Caenorhabditis elegans: one gene and its partners. The protein of the gene in region 1 interacts with the protein of each later gene in a pairwise test. Each region holds a gene or a part of one and is shown on either strand. Other genes may lie near its edges.

Region 1 (4,217 bases):
AAAGTTATGACGGCTCAAAAAATGGCCTAAAATTAGTTAAAATTTGAAATTTGACCGTCTTGCAATGTTGCAGCGGCTGGAAACAATTTTTTTTTTTGAAAGCACCGTCAAATTTTGAGCATACAATGTCATTATCTTGCGTTTTTAACTCGATTTGGGTACTTTAAAGTCGATGGACGGCGAGATTTCGTAAAAAAAAAATTAAAAATATCGCCGTCCATCGGCTTTAAAATACATAAATGAAGTTGAAAACGCAAGATATTTAAATTTTATACTCAAAATTAGATGGAGATTTCAAAAAATTAGTTTCCAGCCGCTTGACAAGTCGGTCAAATTTCAAATTTTAACTACATTTAGGCTATTTTTTGAGCCGTCATAACTTTTTTTTGAGACGTTTTCAAGAAGTTTCATTATGAAATTCGGTGTTTTCAGTCAATTGTGAGTCTAATAAAGCAGTAAAACTATTTCGACTATTCCACTTTAGTTTGCTGCTGTATTGATTTTCATAACGAGATTTCTCAAAATAATATTAATAAACTTTTTAAGTATGTCAAAATTTCAAAAAAAAATAAGAGCCAAAACTGTCTAAATTCTGAAATTTCGCAAACTTTTCATGTCGCAGCAGCTGTTGTTACATATTTTAGTCGTTTAGCTCGCAATTACTAGTAAATGGAGGTACTTTTTTCAAACATTTTTTCCAAAATTAGGTGTCAATCGACTGAAAATGTGTCTTAAATCAACGAATTAATGCGAGATAAGATCGAAATATGCATTTTAGCGAATTTTAGGTATTATTTTAAAATTTTTGAACCGCTAAACAGCATTTTCAGAAGTCTCATTATGAAATTTTGTCTTTTTCTGGCCTCCAATTTCTCGAACGCACATCAACCCGATTCTGAAGCATGCTCATTGCTGCATCTTGAGCCTCCGCGTGTTTCTTTCCAACTGATTTCCCGTCTTTTCCATGTTTCGTTGATAACTTAGCGATATGATTAACACCGACACGTTCACTTTCTTCCGACACTAAAATCCATTCAATTGGCTTATGCTTCTCCTGATCAGTCACGTCTGCTTCAAACGCGAAAAGTGGAAGTTTACGAGTGGTTCCAGCAGTGATAGAGTTGAGTTTAAGGAAAAGTGTCGCGTCGATTTGTCCGGCTTTCTCTGAATTGCGAACCGCATTGGTGAGTTTTGAGAGAAGAGGTTTCTCTTCGGGAGTCAGATTATCATCCTCCCCAGCACAATAAAGACCGATAACTTGGAGCTCGGGAAACACTTCCAGATCTGAAATTTGGGGAAAAAAAACTAAAATGAGCAAGAACAGAGTAAAACTGACATTGATCTGCTCTTTGAAGGAGATGCTCCGTGCTAAAAGTAACCGGCTCAGCCATTTCTTCTGTCTCCATTTTCAGAACAAATGAATTGATCGCCTCGACTTGTCGTCCATTCTGCCGTCCGAGAATTGCTCCGAACACTTTTTTCACAGTAGGACCCTGTTGGACCTTTGTTCTGGAGTAGTGTTCGGACATTTGCATAATAACCAAAGGATGCAAAAGCACCTTCGAGCTACAGCTCCCGCTTGGTGCGTTCAATGCCATTTCTGAAAATTATTTCGAAATTTGGTTTCGAAATCGGTTTTTTTGTTTCAAGCCAGATAATGATTTGGAAATTTTGAAAATATTCCTGGATTCACTGGTGGAAAAACAAGCTAAACGGGAATTTTATTGATTCACATTGACATAAGTTTTACAGAACATAAAACTTCCTACAAAAAAGAGATAATGCAATCGAGTGGAAATTATTTAGGATCCTGGAGCCTTGACGTGGCTAAGTGGTGGAAGTGGAGTTCCGTTGACCAACGAGATGAGGTTGTAGATGGCGATGACAAAGCAGATGTAGGAAAGGACCTTGGCGATCTTGCTGACAGCGACATCGAATGGTCCAGCCTCTTCGGACTTCTTTCCTTCGAGAAGAGCATTGGCGTAGGTATCAACTCTTTTCTTGAGGATTGGATCGTAGAGTCCGTACTTTCCCATGACAAGGTTTCCGCATTTGGTTCCCTCTGGCAGACGTGGAAGGATCTTTCCTCCGGCTCCGAGTTGCCACTCTCCTGGGTTCAGTGGATCGAATTGTTCGAGGGTTGGTGGGGTCTTTCCGGCGTTGGTTGGAACAGCCTGGAAGCTGGCGGTTCTCATGGAAAAGCGAGCGACGCCCAAAGTCTTTCTCAAAGCCAACGACATGATTTTCCTGAAAAATGTGTTTTAAAATGTGGAGAAAGAAATAAAGAATAAAAAAATGAAATTAAGATAAGAAAAGTGAAACGAACACTTTTTATGAACATAACAAATATAATTTGTTAAAAAGAATGAAAAGCTTTATTTATAAACAAGTATTTACAGTGGCCATGGGCACCACTAATAAAATGGAAGAGGACTGGCGTGATAAGCTCGTTTTCCACATTCCAGAACTGCATCAAACAAACGGAAAAGTCCAGTATCTCTTGGTCGCTCTAAACCTCTACGCATTCTTCTCCTCATCACAGCAACCATTTCTTCATGTGATAATTTTCCATCCAAATTGTCATCGAACAAAGTAATCACCACATCCACAACGTGATCCGATAGAGGTATTCCAGTCACTTTGACCGCAACTCGTTGAAGTAGCTTCGCATCTATCGACATTCCAGCCATTTTATGAAAGTGTAGAGCAATATCTACATCGTCAATGTGATACAAAAACTCGAAAAATGCTTTCGTCTCTCCAAAACTGATTCCTTTCAAATTTTCTCCTTTAAATCTTCGTTTAACCCGCTTCAACATATGCTTCTGTTTCTTCTCATTAATTTGAGCATGAAGAAGGAGAAGTTGAGCAAAACTATCTTCGTTGATAAGTCCATCCGGGTTATCCAGTGCATCTCTCCGTTCAAATTCCATCTTTAAAATGTCGTGTTGTAGACGCTCTTGAAACTCGATAAATTTTTCAGACGACAAGCTCCCCTTTCCGTCTTTTCCAAAGAAATATGTTTCGAGAGCGGAGTTTGTCTCGACACGGAACGACTGGTTTGGCGTTATATGATCTCGATGACGCTGTCCTACAGTTGTTTGGGACATAATAAGCTGTTGAACTTTTGTGAATTCTTCTTTATCCAGCGCACCGTTCCCATCTACATCGAAGATTTTGAATGCGAGAGCGAAATCCGCGTGAGAGGCTGGAAAAGTCAATGATATTTTGAAAGAAAAACGAGTATTAAAACTCACTTGAGAGCAGAGTCATGAGAAACAGATAATCACTGAAGTTTATGAGACCGTTCTCGCCGAGCTTGTAAAAAATACTGTCAGGGTCGGAGAACTTGTGACGTTTATGCTTCTCAGGATTATAGTTTTTAAAACTATCAAGCCCCCAACGTCTCGGCTGCATCACACCCGGAGTGAAAGAACGGAGAAAATCCTCAGGAGTCATGAAAACTTCAAAGCGTCCACTGTCTTCGTTAGGATCGATGATCTGAAAAATACAACTAATAAATAGATTTTTGTCAAAGTGACTCACTTTCAGGGTCGCAAAGTATCTGAAAATCTTATCCGGAGTGGAATAAAGCCTCAATCTGTCTTCATATTCTATGATTCTTCGCTCTCTGAATCCCAGTTTCTTCTTCTTTGGCTTTTCTTTGACTTCCTCTACTTCACCATTGCTTTCAGTGACTTCCTGAAGACCGCAAATTAGAAAAATTGCAGGAGTGATAGAAAAATAAACACGTGAGAGGTTGTAAACCTAAGAAGCTTGTGAGAAAAATTAACAGAATAACTGAAACTGACTATTTTTATCTTGAAATCACAACACACAAGCTGGTATTAGGTGAACTAGCAGGAGCAGCTCACTTCTTTTTGTGATGCTTCTGGACGGAACGGCAACGATGCGCTCTTGATCTGATCCTTGAGCCTGAAAAAGCGGTGAAATACGAAAAACAAATCGACGCAGGAGAGCACGAACCATTCGAAATCACTCATCAGGATAACCATTCCAGCGATCACCAAGGCATAATTCCAATGGTACAGCTTTCTGAGCGGTGGCCAAATATACGGGCGGTGCTGATAAACTGAACTGGAGTAATGGGAATATCCAACGCCGCTTGCTCTGAAAAATACATTTTATTGAGTAAACCGGGAGAATATTGACTATATTACCTGTCTGTGTAGTGAAAAACATCCTTTTTCTGCCGA
Region 2 (5,392 bases), on another chromosome or scaffold:
AACGTTTAATTCGGAACGTTAACGCTTGTGAAGTGTGGCGCTCCAGAGCTCAATTGGGTGGAATGTCTAGTTTCAACTTATCTACACAAAATATAACATTCAAAACAATTTTATTCAAAGTGCTACTTGATATTCATCCAATTCCTAATCTCGTCATGATCTCACATCAAAGCTGAAAATTTCATCTAGTCATGTGTTGAGTTTTTGAAATTAATTGATTTCTTGACTCCACCTGCTTTTCAGTTTTCCAAAATAATCAGCGTACTCAATTTGTTGAGTTTATGAAATCTATGTTTCTTCTACTCTACTTTTTGATATTTTTAAATGTAGTATATGGACAAGGAGATGATCCATTTTCTAATGACTTTATTAGAAGAAAGAATTTATCTGATTTAAAAGACACGGTTCTTGGAGAGGTCAGTTGGTCTAAAATCTATTTTCAAATTATAATATTGGTGAAACCTGAATTCAAAACTTTTTTCATCTTTTAAAATTTTGCAAATATCATTTCTAAACTCCAATATGTTTTAGATTGAACTTTGTTAAAATTTTGGTAAATTACCACAACTTCAGCTTTTCAAAAAATAATTCGAAAAATTTCGCTGGTATTCAGTTTTGAACCAGTTGAGCTTGAAAAAACACTAGCTGAAATGAAATAGTTGTCGCAGATTAAATGTTTAACTTGTAAGGTAGCTGGTAACATTCCACCAGAAGATAAGGATGGGCTCTATTATTTTATTATCACCTTGTTTGTTATGTCCACATTTGCATCAACTATTTTGACTGGAGTTTTCTTGGCTCTTTCTGTGATCCTTTGGAGCCATTTCAAAAAAGTAATGAAACACGTTTTACATAACTTTTTCCAAGGAATTTATTGAAAAAATTCAGATGATATTTTTCTGGTTTTTAACTCAACTGACCATTTCTGTTTTCATAATGTCTTCTTTAAACTTTTTAATTAATGTACCAGCGACATTATTTGCTTTGATAACCAAGGAATTCGTTCAATCCGGTAACTTTTTTTGAATCAATTTTGAATCATTTTTTTTGTTCAGCCTCATTCTACTACATGTCCAATGTAATCGATTTCTGTCATAATGCAATACTTTTCTCAAACTTGATAATTGCAATACATCGGATGTTTGTGTTCTTTTTCAAAAAACACACGGATATTGCTTTTGAAAAGTAGGGAATTCTGAAATTTTTGGAATTTTAATCTACTAATCCCAGACCGATAACATACTTTTGGATGGGAATGGTATGGGTATTGTCTGCTTTTGTTGTAGTGTCTATGATTATGAATAACTGCCAATATGAATATGATGAACGAATTTTAATGAAACATTATGTTTTGAGTTGTGAAACTAGTAGTGGAATTAAAAATATTGCTCCACCGACAATTGTACAAACTGTAAGCACAATAATGAAAATATCCAGTCCAATAAACACTTTCAGATTGAAATTTTAATACAATTTATTCTTCCAATATTTATTCTGGGAATATATATTGCAATTATCATTAAAATAATTTTAATGAAAAAAGCAGCACTCAACAAATACGAGCTCACTATTTTGAAACAGGCGGTTTTTATATTTTGCCTATTTCAGGTCCTGTTTGATTTAAGAACGAAAAAATGAAAAAAAAAATTTCCAGATTTCATCGTCGGTTTTCCTATTATGCCAAACTATCAAGTTTGAAATAGCAACTGCATTTTTGATAAAACGGATTATTAATACGGTTCGTTTTTTTTTTAATTTTTCCATAGCAATCTTGAAAAATTATCCGTATTGCAGACTGAAATATGCGCTGGAGCTGCAACGCCGTGCTTCTTCTTTTTCACTTCAAAAGAAATTCGGAAACTCGTTTCTGTGAGAGTTTCTCTCACTACTTCACAAGCCAATTCAAACTCACAGCAGAGAAGGCAAACTTCGAGAGCGATTTAATTTTTATTACTAAAATCAGTTTCTAAAATGTTTTTGCCAATATTAGAATAAATACTCGTGTTTTAATGAGAACAAACTCTTCGCAAAAAATTTCTGTGCCTGCCAAATCATATTTACTGCTACAGTAACTTTCAAAGGTGCAATACGTCAGCGGTGAGGGTCTCGACGCGATCTTGAGAATTGCCGCAATCAGTGCGGGGCTGCTTGAATTCGAGGTTTCGATTTTCTGGTTTTTTTTTTCATTTTTCGAATTCAGTTCGGATATTTTTTGTTTTAAGACAAATATAAAGCATTTAAAAAGTTTATGCTTTGTAAAGTGCAGTTAAACTTCAATTAATTCATAATTATTTTAATTGAAACAACTTTCTCGCTCTTGAAAATATTGCATTGTTTCTTAATTTCCAAATTACAATTCCGCACAGGCTTTTTTCATTCAATTTCTTTCTAAACTTCCAGATCTACTCGGTATGGCGTTGCGACACACCATCTCACCGCAGTTTTCGAATCGCCACAGTCCTCCAGTTACCCGTTCTGTATCTCGAACAGGAGTTCATCAGCCGCTAGACACATCTACTCCAGTTACTCGGCGAGATTCCCAACCTGGAACGATTACAGGCACCATTCAGAGATTTCATGAGTCGGCTGACGATTCTGAAATTGATCTGAACTCTTCGAAATTTATTTACAAGGAGCATTTTAGCTACAAAGAAATCACTTCGATGAAGAAGGAAATGTGGTATGACTGGCTGGAATATCGCATTCGCATGGTTCGGCGTCGTTTTGTTCCAACGTGGGCCCAGTTTAAACGTACTCTTATGGCTGTTGTTCTTTTTGCTATGTTATACAAGTGTGAGTCGGGAAAACGTGTTGTGGGTATCTAAATGAATAATTTCAGATGCTCGTGATTGTTTATTCGATGGAACGCATCATAATTCAGAAGGATCCTACGCGGATAAAGACGCGAATTGGGCGTCCGAAAAACAGAAATTTCATCAGACGGTACAATGAATGAACAGTCAGAATAAATTTTTATATTATTTAGATTTCCAATCTCCGAGCAGAGTTTTCGGCGCACGATAAACAACTCGATTTCAAAACTGACCATTTGGAAAAACTACTGGAAAACGTTTTGGAACACAGCAAAGGATGGAAAGAGTCGGCAATCGAAGAGCTCAAACAGATCAAATTATGGCAAGCAGAAATTAGCGATGCTTTGCAACAAATGAAAAAGGAAATCGATGATGCGGTAATTTTCAAATTTAATATATTTTCCCAATGCTAATTTTTCAGAAAAGCACAAAGATCATCCACAGTACACCAGAAAAGGCTCCAGAGACCGCACCAACTGCATCGCTTCCTCCCTCTAGCCAGCTTCAACCAATGCACATAACACGCCGAGCACTTCTTGGAGTGAATGTTGCCAACAGTCTTATTGGTGCATCAATCGATCATTCTTGTTCATCACGTCCAGTTTCTGCAAAAGATGGATTTTTCTACGATTTCATGTCATACTTCGGAACGTTCCAGGAGGGATATGCTTTGCTTGATCGCGACGTTCTATCCCCAGGAGAAGCGTGGTGCACATACGATAAACGTGCGACCTTGACCGTGAAGCTCGCTAGATTTGTCATACCGAAAAGTGTCTCGTATCAACATGTCAGATGGAGCGGGATTGTTCCAAATCATGCCCCGAAGCTCTACGATGTCGTGGTAAGCTATATAAAAATTGTGTTCAGTAACTAATTATATATTTTCAGGCATGCACGGACTCATGTTGCACCAAATGGCAGCCTCTTGTCGCCAACTGTGAATATAAGGAACGTGATGGAAGTTATGACGAGCAAGAACAATTCTGTTCGGTGCCAACAATTCAAAATCACTCACCGATCAATCACGTGCAATTCCGTTTCCGCGAAAATCATGGAGATATGCCAAAGACATGTGCTTATTTGATTCGTGTTTACGGGGAACCAGTCGATCCACCAAAGGAAACGCAACCAATGACGGATAATGGAACTGAATCAAAGTTGGAATCTGCAATTGTTAACTCTGTATCAGAAACCGCATAGAAACGCCGTATTATTGTTCCTGCCCAACTTGTTTTTATATCATTTTCACGTTCCCCACTGACTATGAATCTCAATATTGCTTCTTTGAAATCGTTTGCAAATGTTTTGTCCCGCTTTACTATCCACGTTACCGTTTGTATTTCATTGCTTTATTCATTTTTTATTAATGTGTCATGTTCTGTTTATTTCTTGAAAGTTCTAATCTAAAGTTTCAAAGTTTTAAATTGTGTTCTGAATTTTAAGCACGAGAGCAGCAGGGAAGTGGTGATTACAAGAGAAAACTTCGCATCTGCTAACTAGGGAATGGTGTTACCCCTGCAATCGCTAGGAGGACAAAACAAACTTTAAATGACAGATGAGGTCTTTGGCTACAAAAATCATTTTTTGGAATCTGCTTAACTCTGCCCCAAAGCTGAAATTTTCGGCCTTAAAAAGTAGTCCTCTTTTTGCTCAAAGTGCCGTTTTCGTTTTTTTGAATTTTTCCTCTAGCATGAAATATGCACAAAAACACGGTTTCTTTCGTTTTTTGGTAACTTCGGAATAAATTTTTTGGTTCCTGGGAATCATAAAAGTAATTTGGAAACTTTTTGGAAGTTTTCTTTTTTTGATAAATTTTCACTTTTTTCCCACCTGATATATGCACATTTTTTTTCTTCAAAAATAATTTTTCAAAATTTTTTCAAAAAGTGTTTGGTTTGAAAGAGCAGCATTAGTTTGGATATTTCTACGATTTTGGAGGATCAAATGTCATTTTTAGGAGAAAACCACTGTTGTTTTCTCTAGAGTTTTTCACGAAAAGGACTTACTTTCAAAGACTTCCAGCTCCGTTGACGGGTAAAATAAAAAAAAGTTGTCAACTGCAAAGTTGTTTTAAAAGTACCAATAAACAAATTGTCAATTGAATTTACTCTGCTAACTTTAGCTTTAACTTACTAACGTAAGTTAAAGCTTCACTTCGATTAGCTATATCTCTTTACCCATAAAATTTAGCAGAGTAGATTCAACTGACAATTTGTTTATTGGTACTTTTAAAACAACTTTGCAGTTGACAACTTTTTTTTATTTTACCCGTCAACGGAGCTGGAAGTCTTTGAAAGTAAGTCCTTTTCGTGAAAAACTCTAGAGAAAACAACAGTGGTTTTCTCCTAAAAATGACATTTGATCCTCCAAAATCGTAGAAATATCCAAACTAATGCTGCTCTTTCAAACCAAACACTTTTTGAAAAAATTTTGAAAAATTATTTTTGAAGAAAAAAATGTGCATATATCAGGTGGGAAAAAAGTGAAAATTTATCAAAAAAAGAAAACTTCCAAAAATTTTCCAAATTACTTTTATGATTCTCAGGAACCAAAAAATTTATTCCGAAGTTACCAAAAAA
Region 3 (8,678 bases), on another chromosome or scaffold:
CTTTGCCCTGGAACTCCAGGATTACCGTCGCTTCCTGGTCTTCCTGGTGGTCCTGGTGGTCCTGGCAGTCCTGGCGGGCCAAAGCCATTTGCTCCATTTTGTGCATCCAAGCCTGGTGGCCCCATTAGTCCAGGAGGACCCATTGGGCCTGGTGCAGCAAACCCGACGATTCCGCCCAGCACCGATTGTCCAGGACTTCCTGGTTGCCCTGCCAAACCGTGGTTACCAGGCTGCCCGGGCGGTCCTGGTGGTCCTAGAGGTCCTGGTAGTACGTTTGACATTGACTGACCTGGTGGCCCCATTCCACCGGGCAGGCCGGGCTGTCCGTTCAGACCTGGAGGGCCTGGGGGTCCCTGTGGACATTGTTGACACTGTGATTGAGTTCTAGGTTGGCAAGGCGATGCGCCTAGTCCGGGCATTCCTGGCATCCCGTGACCACCTGGTCTTCCTGGTCGACCTGGTTTTCCTGGGTGGCCAGATGGACCGGGAGGACCTGGATTGCAGCATCCCATGCAGGTTCCTCCTTCTGACGCAACAACAATTCCGCTGCGTGGTGGGCTTCTCCAACCATTATTCTTCTTTTTCTGGGATCTATACCCAGTATTATAGCCGCGGGGTTTAATATTGCTTCCTCTTCCAACAGCGTAACCAGTGTTACCTTCACCTCTAGTAACAGTGTAAGCTTCGCGAATTGTTCGATTGTGGACGATGTCGACATCTTCGGTCATATCAAACCAGATTTCGTTTATAGACTTCTGAAAATATTATACTCTTAATTGCCGCAAACTTCTATGTAAAATGACAATTATGTTTTGCTAGGAAGAACTTCAATTACTAAAATGTTCAGGTATACACTACTAAAAACTATTTCAGCACAAAACATTACTAATGCTTAGTTTATCACTCACCTTGCAATATGCTCCTTCTCTGCTAATAGTCATCATTCCATTTTGTGCATGCTCGTAAATCAACGGTAGTGTTACACAAAGAAACGCTGTAGCTATTACTGAGCTTCCAACGACAGAGTACGCCACAAATTTGAAAATTCGTAATTTTAAATCTACACAGGACTCCATGAAAATTGAAGAAAATACAATGTTAACGCTCTCGCATGGTTTAGTATATATAGCCCGAGGAATACAAAAGAAATGATCAATGAATGTGTTAGGCGGTATACTCAATTAATGTCGTTTGCTGCGAATCCATCGGTTACGGTTTGTTATGCCAATCTAACACTTATTCACTCTTCCACATAATGGGTTTTAGTTCAGTTTTACAAGAACAAAAGATATTGAAATAATTTATGAAAATCGATAAAGTATTTTGAGATCAGGGGGTAAAGGCTGCAGAGAAATAGAGAGTGATTGGTTTTGCATTCAAATATATTCAGGCCAAGTATTCAGGAGACCGGTAAACTGCATGAAAATGTAATGATATTCTATACTTTGAAAAAAAATGGACACGCGCTAAAAATATAACAAGGGAACTGGAAAAATTTGGGAAAATGAATTGTGATTTGAAAAATTGGCAGGAGAGGGGTGAAATTGAAACATTTCGGAATCAGATCAATGGAAATTGAAAATTTGACCATAAAAACAAGATTAACAAAATAAATTAAACTTGAACAACTTTTCCATGAACACGAAGGCGGTAGAGACATGTGAACGGAGCTCCGTAATTGCTTGTCACCTCGAGCTCCACAAACTTGACAGGAAAATCGGGTTTGTGCTGAAAATGTTAATTCGATAATAGCCACACACTTGTCAAGAATTAATCATTCGGACTTACCTTGGCAAGGAAGAATTGAAGTGGCGGGCCATCAAGATCATAAGTGTAGTCGCCAATCAAAACTCTCGAGTTCAGGTCGTCAATCTGCTTGTAAGCCCAAACGAGGACTCCCTTTGGAGCACTCGACCGGTTCCCTTCTGGAGCAACTTCTGATCCAATGTGCTCATAGCTGATGCTAGAAACATCAATGAAATGAGACAGCTCGACAGCAATGTAGCCACGGGATTCTTTGAAGCACCAGCATTCCCCAGGAAACAGGGATTTGGAATTTCTCTGAAAATGAAAAGATAATAGGCTTGGAGTCAGAGGATCCTAAAGCGCTCACCTGAATGACAACTCTTGGAGAGTAATGGAAATAGTAGATTGGGATATCCCAAAACTTTTCCAGCCTTGTGTAGCTTTTGTACGTCTCCGAGCATCTTGTTGACACAACAGCTCCACCTGAGCTCTCCAGGGCATAGTCAACTTTCCCAGTTTTATCCGTGTCATACTCGTAGATCATTTGACGGATGATAGCTTCCAAATGATTCTTATCATATTGAATGTTGGTGTTTTCCATTTTCAGTTGCTCAATAATTGTGTTGTAGTTTTGCTCAAACTTTGCGCTAAGCTCTTGCTGGAATTGGGCGGACAACTCGGCGCGAAGCTAAAAATAACAAAAATCTTTATTATGTACATATGTACAAAACATCAATCATTCAATAATTGATTAGTTAGTTACCTTCTCCGTTACCTCCTTAATGATAGCATCTTTGTCAACAGTCTCAACAACGTTAGTCTGATGGATAATTACTGGGGCCGGAGTTGGCGCTGGGACTGGGATAGGTTTAGGTGCGGGGGCGGGAATTATCACTAGTTCTTCGTCCTCCACATCGGTGACTTTTCTCAGTGGCTCTTCAACAATACGCTCCACATCCGGAGTTGGGGTAATAGCTTGTGGAATTGGAATCACTTGAACAACATCTTCTGGAGCATATTGGCTGATGCGAATCCAAGCACGAGTGCACAAACTGAATGGGTAGGCAATGAGGAAGAGAATCCAGTTAATTACAGTTTTGAGCACGGAAACCACGGAGTTGTACACTTTTCCAAAGACTGCCGCTACCTCATTGAAGAAATACATGTAGTTATCACCAGCAAAGTTGAACACTCCAGCGATTGGTGCATAAATGAAGTTATCTGAAGAAAAAACACCATTTAAGTTTATAGTTTGAAAATTGTAGCACTTACAAAAAATGTTAGTGATTCCGGTGCCAAATGACTTGAGAAGAGAAAGAATGGAGTTTTGGGAAGAAGTAGAAAAGTTTAAGAGACCGGCAAAGATAGTTGAGAAAAAGTTGTAAACAGCATTTGAAGCATTGTAGATGAAGCTCTTTGTATGGCCAACTGTAAAAAAAGCGATTTTCTTTGGTTTTTTGTAGTGTCTTTCTTGTTGTAAATACAAATAGTGAAAACAGATAATATCATTTTTTTACGTGTAAATGGTACTTGCTGGTACTACAAAAGTTTTTTGATGTTTCAAAAAAAATTAAATAAAACGTGAATGGTATTTTAGGCTTAGGATTCTACTCAATTAATAACTCAAAAAGTTAATAAGTTCTAAGCCTGAAAAATAAAATAATACTAGCATGTTGCTCAACACTTTTATTTCCATTTTATTTCATTCGTTACAAACATTTTGGAATTCAGTTTTCTATTTCACAAATACCAAGTAAATTACTGTTCTGAAAAATAAAAGCTAATACTCATGTCCCATTGATAAGATGTTGAAAATTACTAAAGATTTCCAGCATAATGGATTGATCGAATTTTAATTTTTTAAAGTTTTACCACATTTTGACTGCATACAATTTGTATTTTCCTTACCAATTGCTGTGCATCCGTTGTACAAGGTCTCGTAGCAACCGTTGAAAAAGGTTCCGATAGACTTGTTTGCTGACAAGAACCCATCTGAGCCATAGTAAAATAGCTTTCCAGCACAAAAATCGATGAATCGAAAACTCGATGAGAGCACAGATTTTAAGCCATTTCCAACAGCGCCACATCCGCTTGCAATCAGGTCCCAAGCATAACGTGGAGTAGTGCCAAGTCTACCAATCGTCGACTTTCCATAGTTGTACGTGTCAAATGCTGGAATTTAAAGATGTTGTTTTCTACACTGAACAGAAAAATGAGATTTATAACATACCAATATCTACAACAAATTCCTTCACCATCCATGTGTAATGTTTAACGTGATTTGCAGCTGAAATCCAGATTGGCACAGCTGGGAGGGATCCTTCCGACTTCTTAGATGCATTCTTATCTTTGGTAATTTCTTTAACTCTTATTGCTGTGTTGTCAGATGTCAGGAATCCAAGGAGAAAGATGGCGAAGAGAAGAGCCAGAAGTAGACCGAGAATTTGACACCACGAGAACTTTGATGATTTCTTATCGGTAAGACCAGCAAATAGTCCTCCAAAATAGGAAACTGTCTCAACAATTCCTCCTTTGAACATTGCAAATACCACTTGATGCGCTTCAACGATTGTTGCTACGAATGAGCTCAAGAAATCGGCAATTCGAATTCTCCAAGAAACACCAACAGCATCATGAACATCTGATGAACTTGGTGCCGGTTCGTTGATATCTCTGTATAAATAACATGAAAAAAATTGAACTCGGTCATCATAAATTTAAAATGTTCATACCTGACATGAATAGTCTCCATTGGCGCTTGCTGATAATTGGTCAGCTTCATGTAGGCACTCTTTCCATAATCGTAGAACGTATACCATACATGTCGTGCCGCAAAGAACGGGAACAATATCAAGTAACCTAGCCAAGTGAATGCAGTTTTAATCTTATTTCCTGTCGCTTCTTCGTATTGATAATTGTAAGTTTCTTGTGGGAACAAAGGCGTGGAAGTTGCAGCAGCATGACCAATGTCAAAAGTTGGTTCAGGAGTATTCAGATGACTCAGTCCTCGGCTTCGAAGTCCATATGTGGAGAGTGGTGTGTCGATTTCGAGTTCCGGAGTATCGAGTGCTCGAGTTATAGCTTCACGAGTGGCACGGGTTTGGCGGAATCTTGGGGTAACTGAGCGTTGCTTCACTGTTCTAGTAGTCACAACAGTCGGGGTTATATTTTCGGACGTTCCTTCTCCGAATGGAGAGCTCGAGAACACCTTGGCAGTGATTCTGGTAATTGTACTAGTCTTCACAAAGGCTGGAGCTGCTCGGCGTGCTGGTGATTTCGATAATCCATCAAACTTGCGGCTTCTTTCCAATGTTTGAGATCTTGTCGTCATTCTGCTAGCTCTCTCATTTTCCAATTGATCCTTGATCGAACGGTACTGGTACTGTTCCACGCCATTGTTACTTCTTGTGAGCATTCTGTAAGGAGTAAGCACGACGTAGACAAGGATCTCAAAGAATCGACGAATAGAACGAGCAGCCTTAGTGGAGAATGGCTCTTGCCGGTTGCGAATGAGAGCTGTACGGCGACGATGATCTTGGTAGGCGTAGTAACGAGTTTTCGCTGAAAAAAAATTTTTTTTTTAATTCTAACATTTTGCAGAAAAACAACTTACCGAGTTTCACCAAATACAACAGGTAGTCCCAGATGGTGAAGCTAGTGATCTTGATGACGTGGTAGAAAGCTTCCAAAATGTAGGTGATGACGTGAAGAACAAGGTAGACGGGGAAACGGAGGATATAGAGAAGCTGTCTGCTGAGACTGGCCGCTGACCAGTGCTCCTGCTCAGAGAGTGATCCTGAAGTAGTACCACCAAGGTTTGGCACTTCCCAGTGGTCCGGCAAGGATGGATCGTAGATTTTGCTGTATGCGTATGTGTAGTTGGTTGCGTATGGTCTGAAAAAGAAATTATGAAAATTTTATTACATTAGGAATATAAGTTCAACATTTGAAAATGCCAGGAAAAGTTAATCTTCTATTATAGGTTTCGTTTCGCCTTGGTTTTCTAATTTTTATACAAGACTTGTAAACACTACATATTTAAAATTAAACAACCAACATTCACACAGACTTAAAACTCAAAAAGAAACGGAACCACCAAGAGCTCACTGGTAAGTGACCTTTATTCTTCTTCTTCCCGCTCAGATTCCTTCGCCTTAACCCACCCTTGTAACCCGATACTTTCTGGTGTTCTACTTTTCCTCTTTTCCACCTCACTGCTCAGAACAACACAGCTTTTACATATTTGTCAAAGGCTTCTAGGGCGTCAAGTACAAGCAAACTGAGTTCCAAAATACACAAACAAAACGTGGCCTAGCAGGTGCGCGTGAAACCTCGGCCGTATGTGGCGCGAAATTTGAATGAGAAAAAGGGGGAGGGGGGTAACATACAAGTCGCCTGTCAAAGCATCCAGCTCTTCTTCGGTAAGACGTGGCGATCTGGCGTTTCGAACTGGTGGAGTCAGGAGAAGCTTCCGGCGAACTTTTGCAAAAATGTTTGGAGAATTGCGTCCAGAGCGTGTGGATGCGAATTCCGATTTCCATTCATGGGTGTCGAAGTTGTTGTCGGCTTCCGTTGCGGGAGCCATAGTACCTGCAAAACACAATTTTAAGGAAGATATTAAAGATATTAAAGAGCGGTGAAAAAAGAAGTATTGAAGTGAGAATAAAAAAGTAACAAAACTTGCAAGCATCGAGTCTCTGTCTTTGTTTGATTTTGAACTACGCATGATTCATCGCACCAAAATCTGTGCGCTTTACAGAACGAGCAAACACTTTTATGAAGACAAAAGGGCTTGAGAAGGAAGAAGACTGGGAGACGTTCGTGTTTCTCACGATTATAATCACCTGTTGGTTTTGATGGGCTGAGAAAAGAATATATAATACTGCCTGATTTTATTATGAAATTTAAGAGAAAAAAACTGGCAAAAAAAACAAAACATATCACATCACAACAAATTAAATACGCAACTTTTCGAAACATCGCAAGGCAGAAAAAATTCAAACCAATGTTGTTTGTGTGCTCACCCCGTCGGGCCCTCCGTCTCTTCACCTTGCACACTATACTCGAATCGATATTGTTTGTGTGAGTGTTTTTCTGGGCGAAAGGAGGAGAAAGGGAGGGCACACACATACACGCAACAGTGAGCGTCGATTTAATGGTTTCGGTCGGTCACCCCAGTCTCCAATCGCCATCACCCCCGCCGAATGGTGCAGGTGGTGGACAGCAGATAGGGGGAGAGGGGGTGAGGCAGTGTGTTTTTTGTAGAGAGTAGTTGTCTGGCGTACGGTGACAAGCGATGGAACCGAGTGAGGGAGTGTGAGATGGGAAGAGAGAACACCAGAGAAGAACATGCATCTACGTGTTGCCCTCTAAACACGTAAACAGGCCGAAGGAATTAGGCATCATTGCAATGGGCAACAAATCGGTGAGAAGTACTGTGAAAGAATCGGAAGTGTGTCTCGCCTTACCACGTAACCTTGAGGCTAATTTACAAGCCCAATTGAAAAGTGTTGTAACGATTAGACACAGTCAAGAGCAGATACGGAGAAGTTACTAGTTTTCAATAAACGTTTGTAGAAGAACATGAAATACATATCAGTACGTCAGATATAGGCTATCAGTAAAATAAACCCTCAACCAAAAACACAAGCACAATCTGCGTGTCCACAATGTTTTCCGCTTTAAGTACTGAACTATGTCTGTTTTTTTTATAAAGCACAACTTCCAGATCAGTTACTTCGGCCTGCGTGGAAGGTTTGAATGATTTTAAATTCTCAAATCAATCGCATGGCTCTGATCTCTGGTGTTGTTTTTGTTGACTTTTTCTACAATTTTTGAACAGTGATCTATTGGATTCACATGGTTATGAAACTAACAAAAACTACGGTGTTTATTTACTATAGCAAAACTTTTTTCTAATTTTAACTTTTAAAAATTGAAATCAGGTTCTTCTAGAATATTGAAAATGCCGCTTTTCAAACTGAAATCAATTTTTTGAGTTTTTGAAATCAATTTTTTGAGTTTTTGAAGCCTACTGCCAACTTTTTGAAAAACTAATTCAAAAGTTTTCCAGAAGATTTTCAATTTTTAAATTTTTTTGTTGTATTTTCATGTCTATTCACAGAGTGAAAAATATTAAAAAAATATATAAAAACCAAATTTATCAAGAACTAATCAGATTTCCCATTCTCAAATTTCCAAACATCTTGATCGAATTAATCGGGATTTTGATGGGTAATCAAGTGTTAAATATGTTTTAAAGAGGGAGTAGTTTAAATGGGGAAAACATCAAAGCTTATAATGCAGTGCATACTGAGGAATTAAAAGAGAAACTGAACATTTTTTTGAAAAATGAGAGAATATGCTTGAAAATTTATTATAATTTTAAGTAGACGCTCAAGTTTTTCATTTTCTAGATTGATTTTTTTAATACAAAACTTTCTGTTTGTTAAAAAAAAACAAGTTTATATAACAGTCAGTGCGCGCGAAATTCAAATTTCATCCACTTCAACTATGTTTGTCGCTTTAGAGTAAAAAATTATCGGTGTGAACTTTTCTCACTCTTTTTCTCAATAACGTCCTTTTGACTTGCTTCGTTTTCAAAAATAAAACACAATATTTTTTATGGAGAAAGTTTGAAAAAAAAAAGAAATTGAGCGAATAGGAAAAGTGAAAAACGTTTCTGCAAATAAAGCTAATCCAAGAGAGCAATGAGCAAACATTGACGTTCAAACGTGAGGAAAAAACGAAATAAAGAACAATTTTCAGAGCTCAGCATCTTCCATTTCTGCTTCTTTAATGTCGGCTTCAATTTCTTGTTGTCGCTTCCATTGGTCAATTTTATCTGGAAAAGCACAATTTGATTTACTTTCAACATTCATATTTGCACTTACAAGTGTGAGCACAACAGAAATCCATTCCACATCTAGAAT

What was found.
Region 2: the proteins of kdp-1 (region 1) and sun-1 interact in a two-hybrid assay, tested with the Caenorhabditis elegans proteins (one study listed by BioGRID).
Region 3: the proteins of kdp-1 (region 1) and unc-84 interact in a two-hybrid assay, tested with the Caenorhabditis elegans proteins (one study listed by BioGRID).

What each region holds. Positions count from the first base shown.
Region 1 is NC_003282.8:13,298,211-13,302,427, reverse strand, and holds kdp-1 (KASH (Klarsicht/ANC-1/Syne Homology) Domain Protein), read right to left. Parts: upstream 2,241-4,217; coding exon 1,803-2,240; downstream 1-1,802. Other genes in the region: csn-6 (COP9 signalosome complex subunit 6), read right to left, coding at 884-1,284, 1,337-1,598; micu-1 (Calcium uptake protein 1 homolog, mitochondrial), read right to left, coding at 2,415-3,208, 3,258-3,501, 3,547-3,702, 3,876-3,936, 3,988-4,131, 4,182-4,217.
Region 2 is NC_003283.11:13,190,547-13,195,938, reverse strand, and holds sun-1 (Sun domain-containing protein 1), read left to right. Parts: upstream 1-2,400; 5' UTR 2,401-2,411; coding exon 2,412-2,793; intron 2,794-2,839; coding exon 2,840-2,943; intron 2,944-2,986; coding exon 2,987-3,190; intron 3,191-3,234; coding exon 3,235-3,654; intron 3,655-3,701; coding exon 3,702-4,013; 3' UTR 4,014-4,237; downstream 4,238-5,392. Other genes in the region: F57B1.1 (G-protein coupled receptors family 1 profile domain-containing protein), read left to right, coding at 291-416, 690-833, 889-1,012, 1,056-1,185, 1,231-1,411, 1,456-1,608, 1,655-1,738, 1,795-1,944. UniProt on the Caenorhabditis elegans protein: Involved in centrosome attachment to the nucleus. Required for zyg-12 localization to the nuclear envelope. Together with pot-1, it is required to anchor telomeres to the nuclear envelope in embryos.
Region 3 is NC_003284.9:13,582,433-13,591,110, reverse strand, and holds unc-84 (Nuclear migration and anchoring protein unc-84), read right to left. Parts: upstream 6,337-8,678; 5' UTR 6,332-6,336; coding exon 6,135-6,331; intron 5,641-6,134; coding exon 5,360-5,640; intron 5,308-5,359; coding exon 4,479-5,307; intron 4,420-4,478; coding exon 3,977-4,419; intron 3,919-3,976; coding exon 3,655-3,918; intron 3,175-3,654; coding exon 3,019-3,174; intron 2,968-3,018; coding exon 2,510-2,967; coding exon of another isoform or gene 2,498-2,509; exon of another isoform or gene 2,440-2,497; intron 2,435-2,439; coding exon 2,114-2,434; intron 2,062-2,113; coding exon 1,789-2,061; intron 1,729-1,788; coding exon 1,615-1,728; 3' UTR 1,290-1,614; downstream 1-1,289. Other genes in the region: col-9 (Nematode cuticle collagen N-terminal domain-containing protein), read right to left, coding at 1-755, 909-1,076; srf-5 (WAP domain-containing protein), read right to left, coding at 8,511-8,590, 8,640-8,678. UniProt on the Caenorhabditis elegans protein: Involved in nuclear migration and anchoring in hypodermal precursor cells. Most likely recruits anc-1 to the nuclear envelope where anc-1 functions to tether the nucleus to the actin cytoskeleton.